2 linked regions of the Arabidopsis thaliana genome follow. Each later gene encodes a partner of the first gene's protein in a complex. Each region holds a gene or a part of one and is shown on either strand. Other genes may lie near its edges.

The links. Proteins that work in one complex are often made in the same cells at the same time.
Region 2: ARP4 (region 1) and SWC2 share a complex: the UniProt entries of both Arabidopsis thaliana proteins name them as parts of the SWR1 chromatin-remodeling complex.

The regions. Positions count from the first base shown.
Region 1 is NC_003070.9:6,346,055-6,353,901, forward strand, and holds ARP4 (actin-related protein 4), read left to right. Parts: upstream 1-1,993; 5' UTR 1,994-2,144; coding exon 2,145-2,157; intron 2,158-2,246; coding exon 2,247-2,338; intron 2,339-2,453; coding exon 2,454-2,618; intron 2,619-2,695; coding exon 2,696-2,769; intron 2,770-2,844; coding exon 2,845-2,925; intron 2,926-3,015; coding exon 3,016-3,076; intron 3,077-3,213; coding exon 3,214-3,263; intron 3,264-3,405; coding exon 3,406-3,460; intron 3,461-3,665; coding exon 3,666-3,743; intron 3,744-3,820; coding exon 3,821-3,874; intron 3,875-3,948; coding exon 3,949-4,002; intron 4,003-4,071; coding exon 4,072-4,132; intron 4,133-4,287; coding exon 4,288-4,339; intron 4,340-4,687; coding exon 4,688-4,754; intron 4,755-4,879; coding exon 4,880-4,942; intron 4,943-5,026; coding exon 5,027-5,089; intron 5,090-5,185; coding exon 5,186-5,248; intron 5,249-5,343; coding exon 5,344-5,408; intron 5,409-5,496; coding exon 5,497-5,565; intron 5,566-5,666; and 3 more. Other genes in the region: AT1G18440 (Peptidyl-tRNA hydrolase family protein), read left to right, coding at 1-278, 349-433, 655-722, 836-886, 972-1,045, 1,225-1,283, 1,367-1,443, 1,519-1,632; AT1G18460 (alpha/beta-Hydrolases superfamily protein), read left to right, coding at 6,628-6,668, 7,238-7,411, 7,500-7,847. UniProt on the Arabidopsis thaliana protein: Involved in several developmental processes including organization of plant organs, flowering time, anther development, flower senescence and fertility, probably by regulating the chromatin structure.
Region 2 is NC_003071.7:15,405,324-15,412,049, forward strand, and holds SWC2 (DNA binding protein SWC2), read right to left. Parts: upstream 4,590-6,726; 5' UTR 4,366-4,589; intron 4,132-4,365; 5' UTR 4,108-4,131; coding exon 4,040-4,107; intron 3,902-4,039; coding exon 3,832-3,901; intron 3,655-3,831; coding exon 3,583-3,654; intron 3,481-3,582; coding exon 3,437-3,480; intron 3,353-3,436; coding exon 3,079-3,352; intron 2,978-3,078; coding exon 2,902-2,977; intron 2,829-2,901; coding exon 2,709-2,828; intron 2,616-2,708; coding exon 2,547-2,615; intron 2,448-2,546; coding exon 2,405-2,447; intron 2,190-2,404; coding exon 2,124-2,189; coding exon of another isoform or gene 2,048-2,123; exon of another isoform or gene 1,939-2,047; coding exon 1,743-1,938; 3' UTR 1,724-1,742; intron 1,648-1,723; 3' UTR 1,299-1,647; downstream 1-1,298. Other genes in the region: AT2G36730 (Pentatricopeptide repeat (PPR) superfamily protein), read right to left, coding at 1-1,250; UGT73C1 (UDP-glucosyl transferase 73C1), read right to left, coding at 5,208-6,683. UniProt on the Arabidopsis thaliana protein: Component of the SWR1 complex which mediates the ATP-dependent exchange of histone H2A for the H2A variant H2A.F/Z leading to transcriptional regulation of selected genes (e.g. FLC) by chromatin remodeling.

The DNA of each region.
Region 1 (7,847 bases):
CACTATTCTTCCGATCACCGGCGACGTTTTTATCGCCGGCATTGCCTTGTCGGAAGCTGACGAAAGGAATAAGAGGTCTCGAAGGCTTGATGTCTCAGTGTTTATCATCATCGTCACAATCATTGTCATTTTCATCGAATTCATTCTCCTCTCAACCGGAATCAGAGTTACTTCAAGCTTTACCTTCTTCGAAGCCAAAATCTCCGCCACTGCAGCTGCCATGGCTCATTGTTGGTTTGGGTAATCCCGGCAAGAAGTACCAGGGCACGCGCCACAACGTATGTCTCTCTCTTGCTTTCTCACTTTGCATTTTCCTTTTCAGCTCGGTAACGTGATCATGAATTGCAGGTTGGTTTTGAGATGGTGGACGCTTTGGCTGATGCAGAAGGCATCTCCATGAACACTGTTAACTTCAAGGCCTTGTTTGGGAAAGGTTCTCTTTTTCATTCTCTTATCTTCTCCATTGTGAATTTTCATTTTGAAATGGTTTTCTTATCTCAAAGTTTGAAACTTTCAAATTTCATACGTCTCAAATGTTTGATGAGGGTGATAGAAACAATGGCTAACTGTTTCCGGAGAATGAATATTGAAATAAATATCATTTTCTGTCTCTGGTTTGTTTCTAACTTTGGGTATTGTTTTCCTTTATCATAGGCGTTATTGGAAATATACCGATTATGCTGGCTAAACCACAAACTTTCATGAACCTAAGTGGTGAGTCTGTAAGTGAGCTCATCGGAAACAAACTTTGGTTTATTTAGTTAACCAATCTCTTTAACTTTTATCACTTGTTATTTTGATTCTTTCTGTTTATGATTGCTGGAATTCTTTGAAGGTTGGACAAATCGTTTCATTTTACAAGATCCCGTTAAAGCAAGTACTTGTGGTATACTTAACCTTCTCTCTCGCTTACTCTCCAAATTCTGGCTCTAGAGTGCATATGCCGTCTTAATTTTTTTTGTCTTTTTCAGGTTTACGATGATTTAGATTTGCCCTTTGGTAAACTACGTTTATTGCCAAAAGGTGGTCACGGAGGCCACAATGGGTACAATGCTTTTCACTCTCTATCTGGCCTGTTGATGTTTTCATTTGTGTTTTAACTTTTAAGTATTGTCTTACTTTTTACTTAAGAAGCAATGTGGATGGATAATAGTTTGCGGTTTCACTATCAAATCATAGAGAAACTCTACAAGAAAACATGATGGGTTGTTCTTTTACTTGCAGGATGAGAAGTATTATAGACCGCCTCAAAGGTAGCCGTGATTTTCCTCGACTAAGAATAGGTACAGTTCTCATTTTTCTCCACTCCGACATATCTTCCCATTTTCTTCTCTGGTTTTGCAAATTGTCGAATGTTTCATTTCAGGGATCGGACGTCCTCCAGGGAAGATGGATACAGCCAATTTTGTTCTCCGCCAGTTCAATAGACAGGAACAGGAAGAGGTAGAAGCAGATTTATCCCATAATTATCTCAAAAAATTTCAGAAAGACATAACCTGATTGTTTTTGGTTTTGCAGTTGGATCACACATTCCAAACCGGGTTAGAGGCAATAAGGATTCTTTTGCTTGAGGGGTTCAACAAAAGTGCAACATTTGTCAACACTCGAAAATCTATGGAGCAACTCAGTTAGAAGTGACATTGTTACATTACATATATTCATATAACAAACTACAAAGTGTTCTTGCTGATTCATTAATAATTTTTTTTTGGTTCCATACTTGAATCCTTTTTGAGCAAATTGTACATCAAAAGATAACCAGATTATTTGTTTATCATAATTTCTATTATGTAACTCGAAAATATGGATTTCAGTATTTGTTCGGCTGTAATTTAAATTATACACTTTCATTAAGCATAGACATTTTATTTGGCAATAAATCAGCTTCGTTTACTGCAAAAAGGGTGGTCACAAAAGTTGGTTCGGTTTAGAAAAATTGTGTTCGGTTCGGTTAGTTTCTTGAATAATTTAAACCCGACGGATTAAATGAGAGGTTTTGTGGTCCCCACAACTCGAACTCAGTAAAACCAAGTCGACCCGATTCAGCTGGATCCGAGATTACAGAGAACCCCGTCCCGTGTTTAAACCCTCCGGCGACAAAGCTCAGATAGAGAACCGCTCCACCCTTGTCGTTCGCTGCAGCCATGTACGGCGGAGGTGGGTTTCTCTTTAAACCCTTGAATTGCTTTGTCGTTTATCTTTTGAGACATTCCTGAGCTGTTTTTTTCCGTGGTGGGTTTTCACAGATGAAGTGTCAGCTATTGTGGTTGACTTGGGTTCGCACACTTGCAAGGCTGGTTACGCCGGTGAAGATGCTCCCAAGGCCGTTTTCCCTTCCGTAAGTCTTAATTACCAGCATTTTATGTCACTATAAGCTTAATGGTGTTATTGTAGATTTGCTCAAGTCCCTTGTATCTTCAGACTCTTAGTTTTTTTTTTGATGTGTTCATAAGGTTATTGGGGCAGTAGATGGTGTAGAGGCAATGGATGTGGATGTTGATTCTACAAAGACTAATTCGAACTCTGAGGATTCGAAGACCGAGTCTGAAAAGGAAAAGAGCAAACGCAAGCTCTATGTAGGATCTCAAGCCATGAGCTACCGCAGAGATCATATGGAGGTTAGTTTTTCTCCTTGATTAATGTTAAAGTTTATAACTTTGTTGGTGAAATTACAGATTGCATTTTCTCTCACCAGGTTTTGTCACCTATAAAAGATGGCATCGTTTCTGACTGGGATTTGGTGGACAATATATGGGAACATGCTTTCAAGTAAATGTGTAAAGCATTATATTTTCTCTTAATTGTTGTTTGCATTTCATCTCTAAAAAAACTTTGTCTTTTAAGGAGTTGTCTGATGATTGATCCTACGGAGCATCCAATGCTGCTAGCTGAGCCTCCTTTAAACACTCAACAGCAGAGAGAGAAGTATGATTTATCTGCTTTGAAATATCCTTTATTACCACTGTTGCTTTATCTTGGTGTGTTACTGATTTTCTCAAATCATATGCTTGACAGGGCGGCAGAGCTAATGTTTGAAAAGTACAAAGTTCCGGCACTGTTTATGGCTAAGAACCCTGTATATTCCCTCTCCCTTGGGTCATCATTCTTTTTGATAGATTATTATATGACGTTCACTGTAATGTTGATATCCAGTCAGCTCTTGTGTAATCAGATGTCTAACTATCTACATGAATTTGGTGTTTTTGGTGCTAGGTTCTCACGTCTTTTGCTACTGGGCGTGCTACTTCTTTGGTTGTTGACTGGTAAGACTTTAAGTATTAAAAGTTTCTCTAGTATGTAGAAGCTACTAATGTTCCACTTCTGCTCTATATGCTGTGAAAGTCTACCTTGTTCTGTATGGTGTATAATTTGAGAAGCACTGATGACACTTTATTGTATTTCTAGCGGTGGAGGATCCACAACCATTTCACCGGTGCATGATGGTTATGTTCTTCAGAAGGTACTTGTATTACACGATTTAGTAAGAATTCAGCTTTGTGATGCTGTTTCTTTGGGTTTGGATTTTGTACTGCAGGAGAAAGTTTCCCATCTCTCGTTTCCATAGTCATCTGTAGCTGCTATAAATTCTCATCCATGTGAATTATGACCTACAGCATTGATGTAGATTGTGATTCTCCGATTGTTGACCATACTTTTATTCGCAGGCTGTTGTATCGTCTCCACTTGGAGGGGAATTTCTCACTGACTGCCTACTGAAAAGCTTGGAGAGTAAAGGAATTAAAGTAGGTTAAAAAAATTCTTCACTGTTCTTTTCTTTTAAGCCAAATTATCTGAGTGATACTGGTTATTTTTTCTGCAGATAAGACCTAGATACTCTTTCAAGAGGAAGGAAGTACGAGCAGGGGAATTCCAGGTGCATATGTGGATCAGTGAATGAAACTACTAGCAGTGAATAGTCTCTAATTTCCTCCCTTTGAATCCTTGCAGGTTGAAGATGTGGATATTCCTGACACCACGGAAAGCTACAAACTCTTCTGCCAGGTCTGTAATTGATTATGAAACTTCGTTTGAAAATTTCAGTTGTGATAATTTGGTGATTTGTTTCAACAGAGGATGATAGTGGGTGATATCAAGGATTCCATTTGTCGAGTTCCTGATACTCCCTATGACGGTACCTTATGTTATTCTGTCTGTCTCTGGTTTCATAAATTTGTTTTATTTCAAAGTTTAAAGTTGCTTGAGAGTTGAACGTTAGATACTTTTTATCTTTCAATGTCATTTGATCGCATAGCCTTAGTTTTTCTGATGTGATGCATTTATCTGCAGATAAATCATATTCAAACATCCCTACTACGTCGTACGAGCTTCCTGATGGCCAGTAAGCTCAGTTTATATGTCTATTTCGGTTTATTTGTGCCTCAAATGTACATGCTACTGTTGCTTTTGTTTTCTACGTATAAGGTTTGAGCTTAGTTTCTAGCCAAATGTACCACTGCTCTGAACCTTGTTTAAGCTGAGATAAGTGCTTAGTTGGATCTGAGTCATTAAAGCCATTGGGCATAAAAGTTTAGAAGAGTCAGACATTGCTTTGGAAACCTGCATGGAACCTAATGTTCATAATGAGAATTAAGTTAAAAGAAAAAGTGCTAGCTTCATTGAAGACAGGAAGCTGCACCTGTAATTTTTGTAGTCTTTCTCAATATCTTATTAACCATGTCTGTTGAAGGACGCTCGAGATTGGTGCTGATAGGTTCAAAGTTCCTGATGTGATGTTCAACCCGTCCATAGTCCAGGTACACCATTTGAGCACGATAAATTCAACAGAAGATTCTGAAGACATTTTGTTTCTTATCTTGAGCGTTTTGAGCCTCGAATTATTTATCAAAGGTTTCTTCTCCGTTTTTATTGCAATTTGCAGACGATTCCTGGAATGGAGAAGTATGCTGAGATGATTCCTTCCGTTCGTGGGTTACCACACATGGTATATGCATGGTATTTAGTCATTGCAAAGCTTCCATCTCTTAACTTTTTCTAACTTTACTCTCCATTTTACTGACTTGTACAGGTCATGGAGAGCATCAACAAATGTGATGTAGACATCCGGAGAGAGTTGTATAGTAGCATACTGGTAAAATAGCAATCAATGCCAACTCTTAAATACCCCTACTTTTAGTTTCGTTGGATGTGGATGATTAACATTTCCTTTCTTCTCGCATTATGCCAGCTTGCTGGTGGCACATCGTCAATGCAACAGCTGAAAGAACGTCTCGAAAAGGACTTGATCGAAGTATTGTGTCCTAAACTCTTTTCCTCTGTCTTTAAAGCTATCCCAGTTTTTATGATGGCGAAAATCATTCATTGGTCCCTCTATCTTTGTTTCAGGAGTCTCCTCACTCAGCTAGAGTTAAAGTGTTGGCAAGCGGTAACACAACAGAAAGAAGATTCAGGTCTGGATTTAGTGTTCACTTCTTCCTCTATAATGAGACCCAAATTTTTTTGCTTGGATCAACCAACAAACATGTTATGTATGTGCAGTGTATGGATAGGAGGGAGTATATTGGCATCACTAGGCTCATTTCAACAGATGTGGTTCTCCAAGTCTGAGTAAGTCTCTGTTCTGATTTTCCATTAATCAGACTCGCAAAGAAACTATAGTTTGTTTTCTCTCCTGACACTCGGATTTGGGGTCTTGGTGTAAATGGCAGGTATGAGGAACATGGAGCTTCCTACATTCAGAGAAAATGCCCTTAAAGCAGGCAGTTTCAGATTATGTGGAGTCTGACAAGACGAAACTTGGAAACTAATGTGTTATTTTCATTGTGCATCGTTGTTCCTTGAAGATTATTAGTATTCCGCCTGAACCTTTTAGAATGAGTGTCATTAACAAGCATTATAGTGCTATTTTAAAAACATAAAAACATGTGGAAGAAGTTTCGTTGCTTTATTAGATTTTCGCACAATCAAGACCGTCCACGTTTTGTTACTACGAACCAAGATAATCCACAAAATTAACAAGAAAATAACAAATCCGAAACTACAAAAAGCAGCTTCATAAGTTTTCTTTTTCTTTTTTAAAAAAGAAGAAAAAATCAGCTTTATCGTGCCTCTCAAAAAGCTAATGACTTCGAAGTTCCAAAATTCCGGTCTTCGAACATATTTTATAGAATAGCAAAATGTTTTGAACCACAAGATTATTAATAATATAAATAATGTAATTGATATTGGTAAGTAATAATACTTTTATTAATCATAAAATGGTCTGAATAATAATAAAGACAAAATGGACGTAACTTCTCCGCCACTACAGACTTACGTGTCATGTCTCCATATCCGCATGCAAAATCCAATAGATGACACATTCTAAATCATCCAATTATATACGCCCACGTGTCAACCTCTGTCTCGTCTCTCTAAATAACGTTTACCGACCTTCTCTTGTGGACGGTAAGAATCGCCGGCGTCCCCTAATATATCGGATTTCAATCCAAAGACACACTCACAATTTAAAAAAAAACGTTTCTTTTCTCTTCGATTCCCGATTACGGCTTTTGATTTTGTGGGACTCTTCTCAGTTTTTCTGGGCTTTTGGTTTTTGGATTCTATCTTCTTTCATTTTTCAGATTTTTTATTTTATTTTGTTGTATTTCTATATTGGGAAACAAAATCATGCAGAGGATCGTCGATAATGCTCTTGCTATCACAAAAGAGTGAGTCCCTCTCTCTTTTCGATTTCACCATTAGTCTGTGCACGCTTATTGATTTTGTGATTTCTGATTTGTTTTTTTAGTTGCATGTTTAGTGGTTTTAGTAATTTGATATGTGATTTCAACTGTTTTGTTTCCTTAATTTGGATTTTAATTCGATTAGATTTTCTCAAATAGTAATTCGATTTGCTTTAGATATGGAAGTTGCCAAATTTTGAGCCAGTGGTTTTATAGTGGAGCTAGGAGCTAAGTCTATATCTTATATCTTCTGATTTACATTAATCTTGAGATTTAGTGGTATATAGTTTTACTAATTTGGGGATACATTTCTGATTTACCATTTTTAGTTAGTTGTTGAAGGTTTGTTGTCTCTTTGAAGAAAGTATACATATTGACTCTTTGTCCTGTAATAATTACAGCGATTCTCGTTGTATCTGCGGATAGTTTTCTTTGTTTAATGCTTGTCTGTTTGGGTTTTTGGTGTTCGTTGTGGGTTTTTGATTGGTATTAGGATTGTTTGTGTTAGTCTAAAATAGTTTTAAGCTAACTAATGATTTTGGTTTTTAGTGCAGGTCAGTGAAAACTCTGACTTATGAGTCTTTGAACAACATTGCAAGATGCATTAATGGATTTTCTGCGCTTCTCTTGACACTTTTGCCCGGAAAGTCCAATGTTCTTGAAGGTCTTCATGGATGGGAGCTTAGGCCTACATTGCGTGGACCTCGTTTACCACGCTGGATGCATAAGTAAAACTCTCTTCAACTCTCTAATACTTCTTTGTGGTTACCTTATAGCAGCTTATTCGACTCTCTTTTGATTTCTGTGGTTTTGCAGTGGAGTCTCTTCTTTCAACCACTTCATTCACGAACTCTCTGTGGATTCTGATACTTCTAGCTTGGACTATTCCTCTGGTGATGATGATAGTGATGGCATGTCCACGCCTCCATCACCCTTGTCTCAAAGCTCACTCCGCTCTTGGGCTAGTCTTCCTGCCAATTACGAAAGCCATTGGACAGACTGGATAACCTTCATTGTCTGGTGGGCTTTACTACCTGCCCGGATCCTTCTATGGGTACCATTATATCTTTTACGTCTTTTAGCTAGAAGAAATTCAAGAATGCAGCCTCTGAGCCCAGGAAGGTACCAACATTCGTCTAGACCTTGTTTTAGCAAAGCTATCTC
Region 2 (6,726 bases), on another chromosome or scaffold:
TTTGGTTCTAACTCAATCAATCTCTTCTTTACTTTCTCACCAATTCCCTCATCATCTTCATCGTGATGGATACTACAAGCGGAGAGTAGAGTCCTCCAAACAACCGCATCAGGCTCAAAAGGCATTTTCTTTATGAAGTCATACGCCTCGTTTAGTCGACCTGCACGTCCCAAGATATCTACCATTGCTCCGTAGTGAATCATCATTGGTTTGATCTTGTGTATTTTCTCCATTTCGTGGAAATATTTGTACCCGTCATCCACCAATCCCGTGTGGCTACAAGCGCATAAAACACCGAGAAATGTTACGTAGTTTGGTCTCACCGATGATTCTTTCATCATCTTCGAGAATAGTTGAAGGGCTTCTTCTGCAAATCCATATTGTGCTAATCCTACAATCATGGCACTCCAAGTCCAAACATTTTTGTCAACCATTCTTTCGAAAACTAACCTAGCATACTCTAATCCACCTGATTTTGCATACATGTCTACAAGTGCAGTACCTAGTCTACAGTTTAACTCTAACTCTCTTACCATCACCTGTGAATGCACCAATTTCCCCAAGCTCAAGTTACCGCCACAAGCCGAAAGCAAAACCACCATTGTCGTCTCATCTGGACAAAACCGCTTACCAATCATCTCACAAAAACACTCAAACACCAAATTTAACTTACCATTCTCAACAAGAGCAGTCATAATCGAGTTCCAAGAAACAACATTTCTCTCAGTCATTTCGTCGAACACCTTCCTGGCATCAGAAGTTTTCTTACAAGTACCATAAAGATGGATCAAATTGTTCCCAACATATACATCAAAATCAAACCCATGTTTCAAAACCTCAACTTGAATCTGTCTCCCAGCAGTGAGACCTAAAAACGAAGCACAAGCCTTGAGAAGAAAAGGAAAAGTGAGCTTATTAGGTTTGATTCCTCGTCTCTTCATCTCAGAGTAAACCCAAATCGATTCCACAGGAGAATCACTTGAAGAATAGCCTCTACTGAGCATATTCCAAGTAGAAGGAGTCGAATCTGAAGAGTGAAGCAGAAGGGTTCGCGCAAAGGCAAGGTCTTTGGCGAGGGATAGTGATGAAACCCGTACAAGCTCGCTGATGATAAAGCTGTCATTTTGGAGAGAGGAGAGATGGATTTGACCATGGATCTGTAGAAGGTGTTTAATTGAGGAACATAGCTTGAGGAAGATAAGACATTGGTGTTTCCTGGATTTGAAGCATGAATCTGAACTCCAAATCATTATGCCATTGGAGCTCTTAGAAATCGCAAAAAGTTTCAATTTTCAAATCGGTGATATATTTATAGATTTGGAACGGTTTTAACGGAACCGAAGTAAAATCAAAAGCTTATTCGGTTCGGTTTAATGTGAAATTGATATTTATCAACCAAAACATATCATCTTTACAAGGTCAGTAATATACAGAAGATTACACTTTCTCTCTGATTCTGAGATGGGTGTCAGAGGTTTTGGTTAGGAGGATCAATCTCTGATTAGAGTGTTGTTGTTTCCATTTCAAAGCTCTGATCATGAAAATTTCCTCCATGAATGTTCTTCTCGCTTCTAATCTCTGAGAACCAAAACCATGGTCGTGGGAAGATCCATGAATGATGTATCACAATCATGTGAGATGCAGATTCTGCAGAGCATGATTACAACTGTGAGTTCATGATCATGTTTCATGAAAACTAAAGGCTTTATATTAATATACTAACCAAATCAGGGAGGTGTTTATTAATCTGAATCTTCTTCACTCTCTTCTTCAGACTCGGAGCTAAGGAAACGAGCTGAGCTTCTGAGGGAAAATGATTTGTTACTCTTTGGAATCTTCGTTCTCTTTTGTTTTGTTGCAAAACCTTTCGCCACTAGTGTATCAAACAAATCTCCCATCTCCATTTTCTTTCTCAAACCATCATGTTCGTCCATGAACCTTCAGAACAATAAACATAAGACTGGGAAATATCAGATTCTAACACTAATAAAGACAATGTAAATATCAAAGGCCTGTTTCACTCGATAACATTCATTTGCTTGATCCGTTAGAGGAAACAACAGATGAATACTTCTATAGACAAGTGAAAACATCGATGCAGCAATAATTGGATCAAGCAACACCTTTCACGTATTGCTTTGAAGGCGTCTCTAGTTGCATAAGGAAGACCCGTTTTTGGATCCCGGTACCTGTATCAGCAATACACACAACAGCTAAGAACTAGTTCTAAAATTGCAGAGAAAAGATAATCAGGTTTCTAGGTTATAACATCATTTCTTTTCGAGAAGTATATATCAAAGAAACTGATAACTTCTTTTTAGTAGACCTAAGAGAGTCTACTTGTGTTCATCCCAGAGATCTTGTTCTTCCGATGAATAAAGAAGAAGAACAGAAAAACTCTTACTTGGCAGGTAATCCCGTAATCACACATACAGCTTTTTCTGGATCTGGAAAAGAGAAAACAAACCAAAAGAAAGACAGAGATCAGTATAGATCAATATGAACACATTTATGTTCATCTCCAAACACCACTCAAAATTACTTACAGGGAACAGACTTCGTCGACAACTCTGAATTGAATGACGCACCATTACAGAATTCTAAATAGTTACATCCTGCATGTAAAGTTAAAAGTTTAAACAAATATAGTTCTTACTTTTCTGGAAAGATCCAATTAGACTGGATTACTATTTTACTGGAGAGCTTACCATCTTTTGAATGATACCGAATCTGAGGACCCTTGTAGACTGCTTTATGCACAATCGCTTTCTTTTTTACTTCTTCTTCCCTTGCCAAGACACGTTCTAAATTCCTCAAGTTCATGATTTCTGCAAGAACCTGACTTTAGCAATTTTGAGTTTCTGATAGAGCAAATCAGATGCAGCATCATAAAAGCCAAACCTGTTTGAGCAGCTTCCAGCAGCATTTCTTCTTGGGTCATCCGTTTTTCCTCCCCTACTTTTTTCCTTTGTATTGGCTGAACAAACACAAAAAAGAATTCAACATGGCAAGACTTAGAAAAGAGATTAAAGTGTAGCCATGAATGTAAATAGCTAGTGGGGATGAGTTCTGAGAAACCTTTGTTGTTGCTTGTATAGCAGCACGCAATGCATCTCTTTCTGCTTGCCGTACAACCACTGAAGTCCGTGTTGATTTCCTAATGACTTTCTCACCTTCCATATCTTCTTGTGCTTCATTCTCTTCTTTTTCTTCTTGTTCCTTGTTTCCCAATTCTTCACCTGGCTTCTCATCTCCAGGAATATATTCTAGTTGTGAAACTACCTTCGTCTTCTTTTTCTTTTTCTTTGAAGCAGTTTTCCCAGGGTAAATCAGCCGCTTCTTTGGCAGATCCCTACAACAATATGCAAAATTGTAACAAAATTAAAACAGACACACATAATAGCCATCATAAGACAAGCTTTGAAAAAATTCAAACCTCAATTCTTTTTCATTTACAGCGACTGCATCAGGCTCAGGCTCCTAATCCCAAACAAAAGGCAAAAGAAAGAAATTAAAAAGAATGGAAATATAAGCAAAAACCTTGATGAATAAGTACTCAATACATAAGCAAGACATAAATACATCGTCATTGAAGTCACTGTCAAACTCATCAGCAACCTCACGTTCTGCTTCATATTCATCATCATGTTCTTCCTGCAGATAACAAAAGTAAAGAGATACATAAATGTCAGCAAACACACGAAAGTTTCTGCGATAGTATCTTGTCTACAAATCTGATTTTTTTCCATTATATATTTTGACATCTAGTCTACCTTAACAAATCATTAACATCTCTTTAAGAGAGTAAGCTATATATAAAACAAAACAAACCTCTTTAAGAGCTTCTTGATTCCAAAACTGTTCATCTTCTTCTACTTCGTCATCAAGCAACTTGGTCATCCTGAAAAAAAACAGAAAACTGATGAATAAAGCTTCCACAAGAGAGTTTCTGATACATCTCAATAACAGTGAGACAAAACCACAATCTTCAGGTGAAACACATTCATCAGGTAAAAGCTTAAGCTCAAGTAATTCTTACCGTTTACCCCGTGTTGCTCTTGTTGTACGGTCCAAGAACACCATTGGCTCTTCTTCATCGATTTCCATTGATAACTTGCTCAACTCTTACTTCTACAAGTTCACAAATTTAAACGAAAATGTCATAACACACAAATTAACAAATCAGCAAGGAACCCCCAAATTAGGGTTTCTCGCAATTTCAAGACTTTACGATTATATCGAGAGGGAAACAGGAACAAAAACCCAAAATTTGAGTGATGTACACAGTAATCGAAGAAGAGCCCATGAAAGCGAGAATGAAAAGTAATTTGTGTGATGAGCTTAAAATCTCGCTCGAGGAGTTACCTTCGGAAAATTTTAGGTTGGAGAAGTTTCTTCGACGAGCACACGTCTTCGCCGGCGACCGCCGCACCTCTTTGATTCACTCTTTCACACACGGTGCCGCTGGTTCGTACACCATTGTTATTGGACTTGAGATATTAATGGGCCTTCCACTTAGACATTTTCAAAGCCCATATTATATTAGAAGATTCTTTTTGTAAAATAAAACTTACAATGATAGACCGCTGGGGAAAAACGTTTTATTTTTATTTTTATTAATGACCTTGAGTAATTTCTTTTTACACTGGCATATATAAAATTTTAAATTAAATTTACGATGAAAAATCGTAACGTAAATAATACCAAAAAAGAAAGATGTTAAGATATATAAATCGGTTAACAAAATTGTCCAGAAATGGTAATATCATAGATAGATTTCAATTTTCAAGTCATGCATGATGTCATTTTGGATATAACACGAGTTGTCAACTTGTCATGATCGAGAAAGCAAAAGTAAACAAACAAAAAGTGTTTCTACACTCCTCTAAACTCCAAGGAGCAAGCAATATCGAAGTTGCGATCTCATGCAGGACCACTGGAGAAGGTTTCTACACTCTTCTAAAGCTACAGAAAAAAAAAAAGTATATAAGAAATTGTGTTTTTTTCTTCAATTTGAGTGTACGAATTCGAATGCTTAATAAGTATGTACTAACTAAGATGTTAGTATAAGATTCGATAATAGAGACAATTTCAAATAAAACTATCATAAATTGTTCTTGAACAAAGAGAAGTAATCGAGAACAAACGTCACAATCATTTTTTTTGGGTAATACAAAAGAAAAGTTACAATCTAAGAAAAGTTACAATCATTTCTTGGGTTGTTCTAATTGCATTATGTCTTGTAGCAAGAATGTGATGTTGGAATGAGAAGAGCCTCCTTCTTCCACAGCCTTGTGAGCTAATTCTCCAAGCTCTTTCACTCTTTTTCTTCTCTCCTTAGCATCATTACTATCACCCATCAATTCCTCCACTGCCTTCTTTACTCCTTCTTTATCCACCAGTACTCCTATTTTCTCCTCTTCTCCCCATCTCATGGACTCTTCAACCCCAGCTCTCACACCGGCTTTTAGTATCTGCACCGCCAATTTCTCATTGCAGAATTGGTCTCCAAACAGTGGCCACGTGAGTAATGGAACGCCTGAAGTGATTCCTTCAAGAGTAGAGTTCCATCCACAATGTGTCAAGAATCCTCCAACGGCAGGATGTGTAAGGATAAGCATTTGAGGCGACCATCCTGTTATGAGAAGGCCTCTTTCTTTGATTCTTTCCTTATAACCGCTCTCTGAGATCCATTCAAGTAACTCGTTATACTTCTCCCAACCTCTTATGACCCAAATGAAAGGTCTTTGGGATTCCTCGAGGCCTAAGCCGAGCTCTTTGAGCTGAGACAGAGGAAGATTGCATATACTTCCAAGGCAAACATATAGCACCGACCCTTCTTCTTTAGAATCAAGCCATTTAATACACTCGTCTTGATCAATGTCCGCCTTGTTTCCCCTCTCAGCTTGGTCTTCTCCTAACTTGTTGCACAAGGAAACCGGTCCGATGCTCCATATCTTACCCGCTTTAACCTTCTTGTAGTCTCTAACATAAGCTGGCTCGAGCTCTTCAAACGTGTTAACAATCACACCATAAGAAGTGTTATCCCCTTCTGTCATTCCGTCAAGGAAGTCTTTCCAATCTCCAGCAACTAATACCATTGGAAGCTGAGATTTTGTGAACTCAACTCTGTCAGGGAAATTAGGAATGGGGAAGTATTCCTTGTCAGACTCTATAGTTTCCAAGAACTCGTGGTTTTGGTGCATTATGTGCGTACAAAGAAGATTGAAGCAACACATGCCATGAAAGATGATTTTTGGTATACCAAGATTCTTGGCAATTCTGTTTGTATAAGGCAAACACATGTCAGCGATTATGCAGTTTGGCCTAGGTTGAATCTCTTTCAAGAGCTTCTCGACTGGTTCCTCGAGCAGGCTAAATGCTTTGAAGAAGGTTAATGAAGCCCCCAATGAATCGAGCAAGTCCAAATTCTCCTGTCCTTCCGGTGAACCCGATTCTTGAGATGGAAACTTTACTTGCACGAGATTGATGGGCAAGCCGGATTGGATAGCCCGGCTAAGAACGTTCTTGAACCGGCCTGCGTTTTGAGGTGTAGTGACAATGGTTATAGTCACCCCGCGCTGAGCCAGGAGCCTTGCAATATCTACCATTGGGATCATGTGGCCTTGAGCCATGAAAGGGAAGAGAACAAAATGAAGAGGAGGACGAAATTCCGATGCCATGAGGAACTCTCTTCTAAGGTTTATTTTTTTTGCTTTGGTTCCG